Linked DNA regions of Kluyveromyces lactis. The protein of the gene in region 3 purifies or fractionates together with the protein of the main gene of each other region. This does not show direct contact. Links are inferred from orthologs where the notes say so. Each region holds a gene or a part of one and is shown on either strand. Other genes may lie near its edges.

Region 1 (3,256 bases), about 1.5 Mb from region 3:
ACTATTGATCAAAGAGAAATTACTGGATTCACAAACATTTTGGAGTGATTTAAAGGCAGGAACGGATTCTGCCTTTCACGTTATTTTCCAGAAAAGGTGGGAATATCTTATGAAGTTCGGAAAAAGATTAACAATTCCTATTGTTCCCTATTTCGGACTAGCATTCAGATTCTGTCTACAGATTTTGTCATCGATTTTGGAACACTGCAGAGAAGTTCATTGTGACGGATGTAATATCCTTCAAAGCAAGAGGTATGTTCAGAGTGAGTTATTGATGTTGAAAGACAAAACGTTCATTGCAGAATTTCAAATGCTTGACTGGGCTCAGCTTCAGGATCAAAACAGTTCCACAACATCTGAAAACTTTCTCAATGAATGTCAATAATAAATTCGTAGATTTAGAAGCACCCGATCAAAATATATCCTCCAACACTTATTATAGGAAAGCTCACACAGTTGTTATTAGTATTATTATTATTATTAACTTCATAAAAATATTGATCTATGGAACGGTTATAATGTGTATTCGTTGTTTCTAATTGGAGCAAACCATGGATGAGCCATAGCTTCTTTACAAGAAAATCTTTCTTGATGGTCGTAACGAAGAAGATTATCGATTAAATCAATGATATCATCGTTTCCACATAGGTGCTTGTTGGAATCATTGACGAATTTCTGCCATGGTCTTCTGATGTATTGATCCATATCAATAAACTCATCTGGGAGTGTTATCTGATATTTCTGTAAATATCTTTCGAAATCATCACTACCCAAGACGCGTACAATCTTGACTAGCTGGTCAGTATTACTCGACCCATAGAAGAAAGGCTCTTTCAGAAAAACCATTGATGCTAACATTGCTCCAAATGACCATAAGTCTAGCGAGTAATCGTACATTCTATAATCAACTAGAAGTTCTGGGCCCTTGAAAAATCTTGACGCAACGCGGACATTGTATTCCATCGATGGATGATAAAATTCAGCCAAACCCCAATCGATTAGTCTCAATTTGTGTTGCTTATGGTCAATCATTACATTGTGTGGTTTGACGTCTCTATGCATAATACCCATCGAATGGCAGTAGTCCAAAGCTTTCAAAAGCTCGAACATATAATAACGAATATCAAGATCCGAAAATGAAGCATACAACCTACGGAATTCCGTATTGTCGATATGTTCAAAAATCAATGCAGGTGTCTTGGATATGGGATCTCTGACCACATCTAACAATGTTATAATATTCTCATGCCCGTTATGAGGTAAGTCATATACTTTATCTCTCGCATATTTCAGTACTTCTTCTCTTCTGTTTGTGTAATATTTTGCCTCATCGTAAGGTTGCGCAGTTGGCGGATTCTTCTCATTCGAGAGGTTTGCAAGTATGGTAATTTCTCTCTTAATCTTCTTCTTCTTCACAGGTTTTAGCATCTTAATGACAATCTTATTTCTCGTGGATAACTGTACGCCTTGGAAAACTTCACTATATTTACCACGGCCAACTTTGCATTCAACTTCGTACTGTGAGTTATTAGCCTTCCATTCTATTGATGTATTTTCATAGTCCCAGTATCTTTGACCACGAATCTCGTTGGCATCACTATAGACTCTTGCCTCACTCCACACTTTCGATTTCATCTTCCTTTTAATAATGTACTGGAAAGTCTCTAAAACTACCACGAAATTAACAACGAGAACGATTGCCAGCCAGTTTTTTGTTGACCTTTTCTATTTCTATAAACAGTGGTAATAATGAGTCCGAGAAATCCAAACCACTCACCGTATATAATCCAGTACGTTTGAAGCTTTTGTAATGCCTATACTCAAACTGGAATTTTCATTTCTGGGTTATCTGATTTCTTTTCAGTTCATGTCTCTCTTGCAAAAATTGACATTTCGAAACTACAGTATGAGGAGTTAGGGTAACGGTTTTATGTATAGAACAATTCTAGCCAATAATTGTGTTGACTGACGAACCGGCAAAATATAATGGTGTTCATTTAGCATTTATACGTAGTGTATGTGTGTATAATTTCTTACTTTATTTATTCAATTGATTATAATTTCTGGAAGTTTTCAATTAATTCGGAGTGTTGCTCCTTTTGCAATTTGGTAGAATCATCGTTACGTTCTCTCAACACGTTGTAAATATCCAACGTCTTTTCGAAATACACGATTTCGAGCATTGATCTAAGCTTAGATTCAATATCTTCAATCATAGATCCCAAGCTGGAAGAGTGAGCGGGTACTAGCTGTTCAACAGTAGATACGTTTTGCAATTTTACGGTCTTGGAATTTTCTCTAGTTAGATTACCGGACAATGATAGTTGTTGTTCTTTTGATAGGTTTTCCAAGTGCAAGATCACCGTTGTAGTGACATTATATGTGACTTCCATACCCTCTTCATCGTGGGTGGCAGATATGACGTGGATACTGTCCCATTTAGAATCATCTGATTCAGCTTTCTTGAAAAGAATGACTCCCGCGAAATCAGTTGATTCATCAACGTCCCAGAGATACGTTGAAGTGTAACCACCCTCGTAGTATAGGTCCCTATACAACTCGAAAGAATTGTTGCATGCAACTTCTAGTTCTCTCAATGGCTCACTGGGAAAAGGACTTTCTTTCAAATCTTCGGCACTCAATTCAGGGAAGTACTGGTTAGACCACGGTGACCTATGAGAATCGATGTCACGGTTGTAGTCGCAACATAAGAATTCTTTGTTGTTAGCATCGGTATCCTTCTTAATGGTCAATGGGATATCAATTGAGGAAAGTAATCCTTCTGCGATTTCAGGCTCCAACGCAATAAGGTTCTGTAAATGGGTTTTCACCTTTGTTGGATCCAATCTGTATAAAAGCTCGCAAGCAGCATCATATTTCTCGTCCACAGACATTCTAGTTCCGTATCTTCAGTATATTTACAACTAGTTACCACGCTCAATGAGTTTTCTTCAGTTTGCTTGATGTATTTACATTTACCCTTTCTACTCCTTTAATGATTTCTTTCGTAGTTTTCCTTTCAATACGATCGATGATATTTTTCTATTGAGAGACATTGCCAGTATCGCTTACACTAGTAAAATAAAGTAGAAGCATGGAAACAAAAGCTTTGTCAATTGCATACAGTACCCCCTACTTAATGCATTAATGTAATACTATTAGCCATTTATCGGCAGCTGCCTCGGATAGTTGGATGAATATCTGCATCTCACACACGTGACTTCTGCAATCATCTTCACAGTCCTGTCATCTTAAT
Region 2 (1,971 bases), on a different chromosome or scaffold from region 3:
GAACCTTGTACTGTCTGAGATTTATCATGCGATAAGGCACCATCTTTGAACATATAGAAAGAGGCCACCGCTAGTCCTTCTGATCTGTTAATCTTAGTTTCTTTCTCAACAAAAGACCATTCTGAACCTGCACCAGCATCGACAATCACACTAAACGTTATCAAATCAATCAACCGTCTGCATACCTCCAAAGGATCGATGTTCTGGGCAGCCCAGGAATTAATGAGAGATCCCATTCTATCAATACCGTTACAGTTTAAATGTTGCCATCTTCCATGAACAGGAATATCGCCTAGGTTCTTGTAATCTCTTTCAATAATATTGACCAAGTAATCTGTCACTTTCGACATTTTACCCAGATCCACTTCAAAATGTGTACTGTCACCATTTTCTGTTTGCAAAGGGGGGCCGTATACTTTCTTACAAGTTTCCCTAACGGATTGAATGGATCTTAAGTACTCCAAGTCTTCGCATTCTGTGTGTGTCATGATAAATAGCCAGTATGTTGGTTTTTGACAGTTTCAACGGGAGATAATATACAATGCCATCAGAATTAGTTTAAGCGAAGTATCAACTGGGATAGAACTATTTCATTCACTAATGAGTGTATTTATATACTTCGTGGATGGTACACATACATTATCCTTAATTCAATCCTAAGTGTATTGGAACGTTAGTTTGCACAAAAAAGGCATTCTTATCTTTTGCAATTGACCTGTTTCGTTATTCTGGCAACGATTGATCCTTAATGTTCAAGAATCTCCGTCGCACCTCCGACGGATATTACCGGGGACTGCTCATTCTTTATACACCCGTACATATATGCCATGGGATTCTACTTTTTTGATATAATCATCCTCTCTTTCCTAAAACAGAATACTATATGAAAATTTCATGATGTTCTATGATGTCGACAAGCTAGTGCTCCGAAGTTGAAATTCTAAGCTCTCCAAGATAGATGAGCATTAGCATGGTATTGTTAAGGTTACTTACAATTAGATATTAAGTCTATTCATGTCATAAGAAACCAATAAAACTAAAAGGTATACACGATGTCTCAAGTTGAAAAGAAATCTGAACAACAACAAGAAGTTGTGATCCACAAGATCAGAATTAACTTGACCTCCACTAAGGTCAAGCAATTGGAAAACGTTTCTGCCAACATCATCAAGAATGCTGAAACTTTCAAGTTGGTCAAGAAGGGTCCAGTCAGATTACCTACTAAGGTCTTGAAGATCTCCACCAGAAAGACCCCTAACGGTGAAGGTTCTAAGACTTGGGATACTTACGAAATGAGAATCCACAAGAGATACATCGACTTGGAAGCTCCAGCTCACATCGTCAAGAGAATCACCCAAATCACCATTGAACCTGGTGTGGATGTCGAAGTCATCATCGCTGCCTAAACGCACCGATAATGATGTATTGTCAATATCAAATTGGCATTCAATGAATAACGGGCAGGAAACTAAAGTGTTGACCAGATTTACTGCACATCCTTTGAGTTTTCTACCGACATACCTTGAATTCAAATTTTTTTATTTTACTTTTATTCGATATCCAGGTCTCAAGAAAGCTCTTGTATCCTCATTCTCTAAGATTATAGTAAGACTCCTATAAAGTATGGTCAATTGTGTTCAATATAGGATGGAACCTTTTTCTGACACTTCAAAAAATGACAACCCACTCTAGGTAGGGTAGTTTATCGTGTACCTCTATTCTACTATCAGTGGTTAAAAAATAATCATATCCTCTACCAACATCTCACTCATATTTGTTTGGTTACTGTCTGGTTTATTGGTTGCTTGAATGAGTAACTTTTTTGTTGTCATGTGTTAGTGCCCTCCATCCTTTGTGTATAATTCGTACATATTTTTTTAATGGAATATGATTTTAATCATGGGACTTCAAAGCAAGGCATTCAAGCTGACAACTCGAAGCAGAGACTTCTGCAAATGGCCTTTCTTCCAC
Region 3 (3,096 bases):
CGTCTACAAAAATTATCCAACTTCATCCAAGACAAGAGATCTTCGATGCGGACCCATTCAAGACAGGAAACGTATATTTCAACACTGTTGGGGGAGGTATAGGTATTGGTAGCTCTCAACCTATCATCAAAGCTAACGGTAAAAAATACTTCCCAGGAAATGTTTCACTTACTATTGATTCATCTCTCGAGTTCGGTATATTTAGACATTTGGGAGCAGGTGGGAGTTTTAAGCCTGGCCGTCTAATAAGTGGACGTGGAGAAGAACGGAATTCGTTCGAATACCGATTCATAATCCAAGATGTAGAAGTGTGGGGATGCGGAGGAGAAAAAGAGCTCGAAGAGCAAGTAAAGCAATGGCAATGGGAAGAGGCCGAAGCCAAAAGAAGGCAAAAGATCAACTTACAAAGCATGGGAGAAGATCGTGCATTATTGGAAATGGCAGGTCTTGTAGGGCAACATCAAAGCGGTGGATCTATTTAAAATCGCTAAGTAAATATTAAATATTTGAAATTGCATAGAATTTTTAAATTGATCATTTCTTGCTTTTCGTCTTGTTAATGAGCTTTTTCTTAACGTGTTTTTTTACTTTGGTCTTCCTCTTTTCACGTTTGGCCTCTTTTGTTTCTTGCTTACGTTGTTTTTTAGCATCTTTATCTTCGTACTTTTTTCCTTTCAGTGGAGTGTCTTTATCGGAGACCCATCCATCACCATCAGAACTATCGTTAGTTTCATCACTATCATCATCTTCATCTGATCCAGCTATGTCATCTTCATTGATATCCGTTACGAGGTTAGGGAGATCATCACCATCTACGTCATCTTCCTCGTCATCAGAAGAAGAGAGTTCATATTGCTCCGATGCTGTGAAATTTTCGGAATATTTCCTGTTTTCATTAGCAATTAATGATTTCAGTAGGTCAAATTTACCATCAGTGAATCTATCAAAATCTCTTTCCTCTAAACCACCCAAATTTCTTATCAAATGTAAAGATCTGAACACTTCATCTTCAGCTTCGTCTTCATCAGTCAACTTTAGAGGTAAATTGTCGGCAACATATGTTTCTAGATCATCGCTTGATCTGTAATCACCCTTGAATTTGTCTAAGACCTCACTGATGATGAACTGGAAGATCACCCGTTCAGGGAAAATGTCAATTCCCAATTTTTGGAAATATGAGTTAACATTCTTAATATCCATTCTTAGGAAATCTAGAGACATAGGATGTTCTGGTTGTACGGATTGCGAAACATCAATAATATAAAGCTTATCCTCATGTACAATACTATTATACTCACTCAAGTCTGCATGAACTAAGCGACATACCTGATATAACAGTCTCATGTACGCTATCATTAAATTGTAGTAATGTTTAATTTCTTCTCTATCTTTGTAAGGATGATCTTTAAGCCTCGGAGATGCGAAACCATCTCCTCTATTTAAAAATTCCATGACTAAAACGTTTGATCTAACTTCTATTGGTTTTGGACAAGGTATGACACCGCTTTGGTATATTCTCTTCAAGTTTCTAAATTCCTTTTCAGCCCAAATTTTGATCATCTTACGAGGATTATGTTGAGATCTCGAATTTCTGAATCTAAATTCACCATCAACGTATCTTTCACGATCCTTAAAAACCAAGATAGATGTCTTGTAAATCTTCACCGCGTATTCCTTCTTATTTTTTGGTTCATCAGTGGCAGTTGAAGTGGATGTGGCATCCTCAGATTCGGCAGTTAGAGCTTTTTGTTTTGTTGATTCAATATTTTGTGGGGCTCCTATTGTATCATCATGTCCCTCTACCAGCAGATGTCTCTCCTCATGATTACCAGCAAACGCATGGTACACGTTTGCTTCTTTACCTGTACTCAAACAACCATTAAATGCTGATAATATTCCCCTGTTCATCATGGATTTCAAAAACCTCATCGTACGTGGGTCTAAAACATTCTCTACAGTGGCCCTATTCGCCTTATCTTTGCTGGTTTTACCCCTAGTTAATGATAACTCATCTGTTTTGATGCTATTGGCATACCTCTCTAGGATCTGAGTGTTGACATGCTCATCACGGTTGGCTAAATTCAGTTTTTCCAGCTTATCGTCAATATTCATCATTCGTAGTCCAACTATAGATAACTTCTGCTTTCTGATTTACTAATTTGACAATACACAGGAGCTGAACGGCGTATATTGTTCTGTAAATAACCACTATTCCAACCTCATCGCTCATCTTGTACACCATTAAAGTAAAGTAGCGTACTTTTTTTTTTCCTACGTTTTTTTTTCACGATGCTCTAGACAGGATCGCGAATTGCTTTTCAATAGAGGAAATAGTTGTAAACATTCTAAAACGCTCAGTAGATGAATTGAAAGGTCTACCTGTGTAAGTGGAAGAAACCAACTTGCTTTAACGTCAGGGTTTGTCCTTATTATACTCCTATGCAGCAGCAATCAAATATGGTTCATTTGCCACAAGTATGTTTCTTTTGGGTATTTAACCGCAGTTGAAAGACGTTTTTACATGATCGTTTGATGCATGGTTTTTTTTTGATACCAGTAATATGTACTAACAGATGACATTGCCCTTTAGACATTCCTGTCTTATCCCTTGTACATAGGTGTTGAGGTTGCACTTGGTGTGCTAACCTTCAACAAATTCAGCGGGATGTATGGTGTTCTTGCACTTTTCACTGGACACCCGTTAGACTTTGTGCAATGGACTTTTTACATCTGGTCAATTTTCTGTCTAGTGGTATTCATTTCAGGAATAAGACAAGTTTATAAGCCCAATATCCTCTTAATGTCCACGGTTACTTTTGTGTTCAGTGTGGACACAATTGTTAGTTGCATTTACTGCTTATGGTTCACTGCTGTGTGGTTCAGCCAGGAGGGCTCCACTGACGTTACGGACTTGAAGAGCGCGGGAACCGCACTTGGACCAGCTCATGAGGGAACCACATCCACGATCTCAACTAAAGTAGATACTTCTAAGAGTGCTTCTAGCGGCTATGAATTTTTCCTCATCATATTGCTAACTTTAGTTCCACTAGCAGTCAGATTCTATTTCAATTTCATCATAATTGCATTCCAACAACA

Evidence for each region.
Region 1: the proteins of RIO1 (region 3) and CKA1 purify together in Saccharomyces cerevisiae (affinity purification with mass spectrometry; 3 studies listed by BioGRID, with this or other methods). This does not show direct contact. The link is inferred for Kluyveromyces lactis from reciprocal best matches to the Saccharomyces cerevisiae genes RIO1 and CKA1.
Region 2: the proteins of RIO1 (region 3) and RPS20 purify together in Saccharomyces cerevisiae (affinity purification with mass spectrometry; 3 studies listed by BioGRID). This does not show direct contact. The link is inferred for Kluyveromyces lactis from reciprocal best matches to the Saccharomyces cerevisiae genes RIO1 and RPS20.

The regions. Positions count from the first base shown.
Region 1 is NC_006041.1:381,253-384,508, reverse strand, and holds CKA1 (casein kinase 2 catalytic subunit CKA1), read right to left. Parts: upstream 1,636-3,256; coding exon 514-1,635; downstream 1-513. Other genes in the region: CAP2 (F-actin-capping protein subunit beta), read right to left, coding at 2,055-2,894.
Region 2 is NC_006042.1:2,371,668-2,373,638, forward strand, and holds RPS20 (40S ribosomal protein uS10), read left to right. Parts: upstream 1-1,052; coding exon 1,053-1,406; downstream 1,407-1,971. Other genes in the region: KLLA0_F25520g (URC4/urg3 family protein), read right to left, coding at 1-488. UniProt on the Saccharomyces cerevisiae protein: Component of the ribosome, a large ribonucleoprotein complex responsible for the synthesis of proteins in the cell.
Region 3 is NC_006041.1:1,885,471-1,888,566, reverse strand, and holds RIO1 (protein kinase RIO1), read right to left. Parts: upstream 2,116-3,096; coding exon 535-2,115; downstream 1-534. Other genes in the region: RTC5 (Rtc5p), read left to right, coding at 1-482; KEI1 (Kei1p), read left to right, coding at 2,440-2,475, 2,591-3,096. UniProt on the Saccharomyces cerevisiae protein: Required for the final endonucleolytic cleavage at site D converting 20S pre-rRNA into the mature 18S rRNA. Required for the final steps of cytoplasmic maturation of the 40S ribosomal subunit.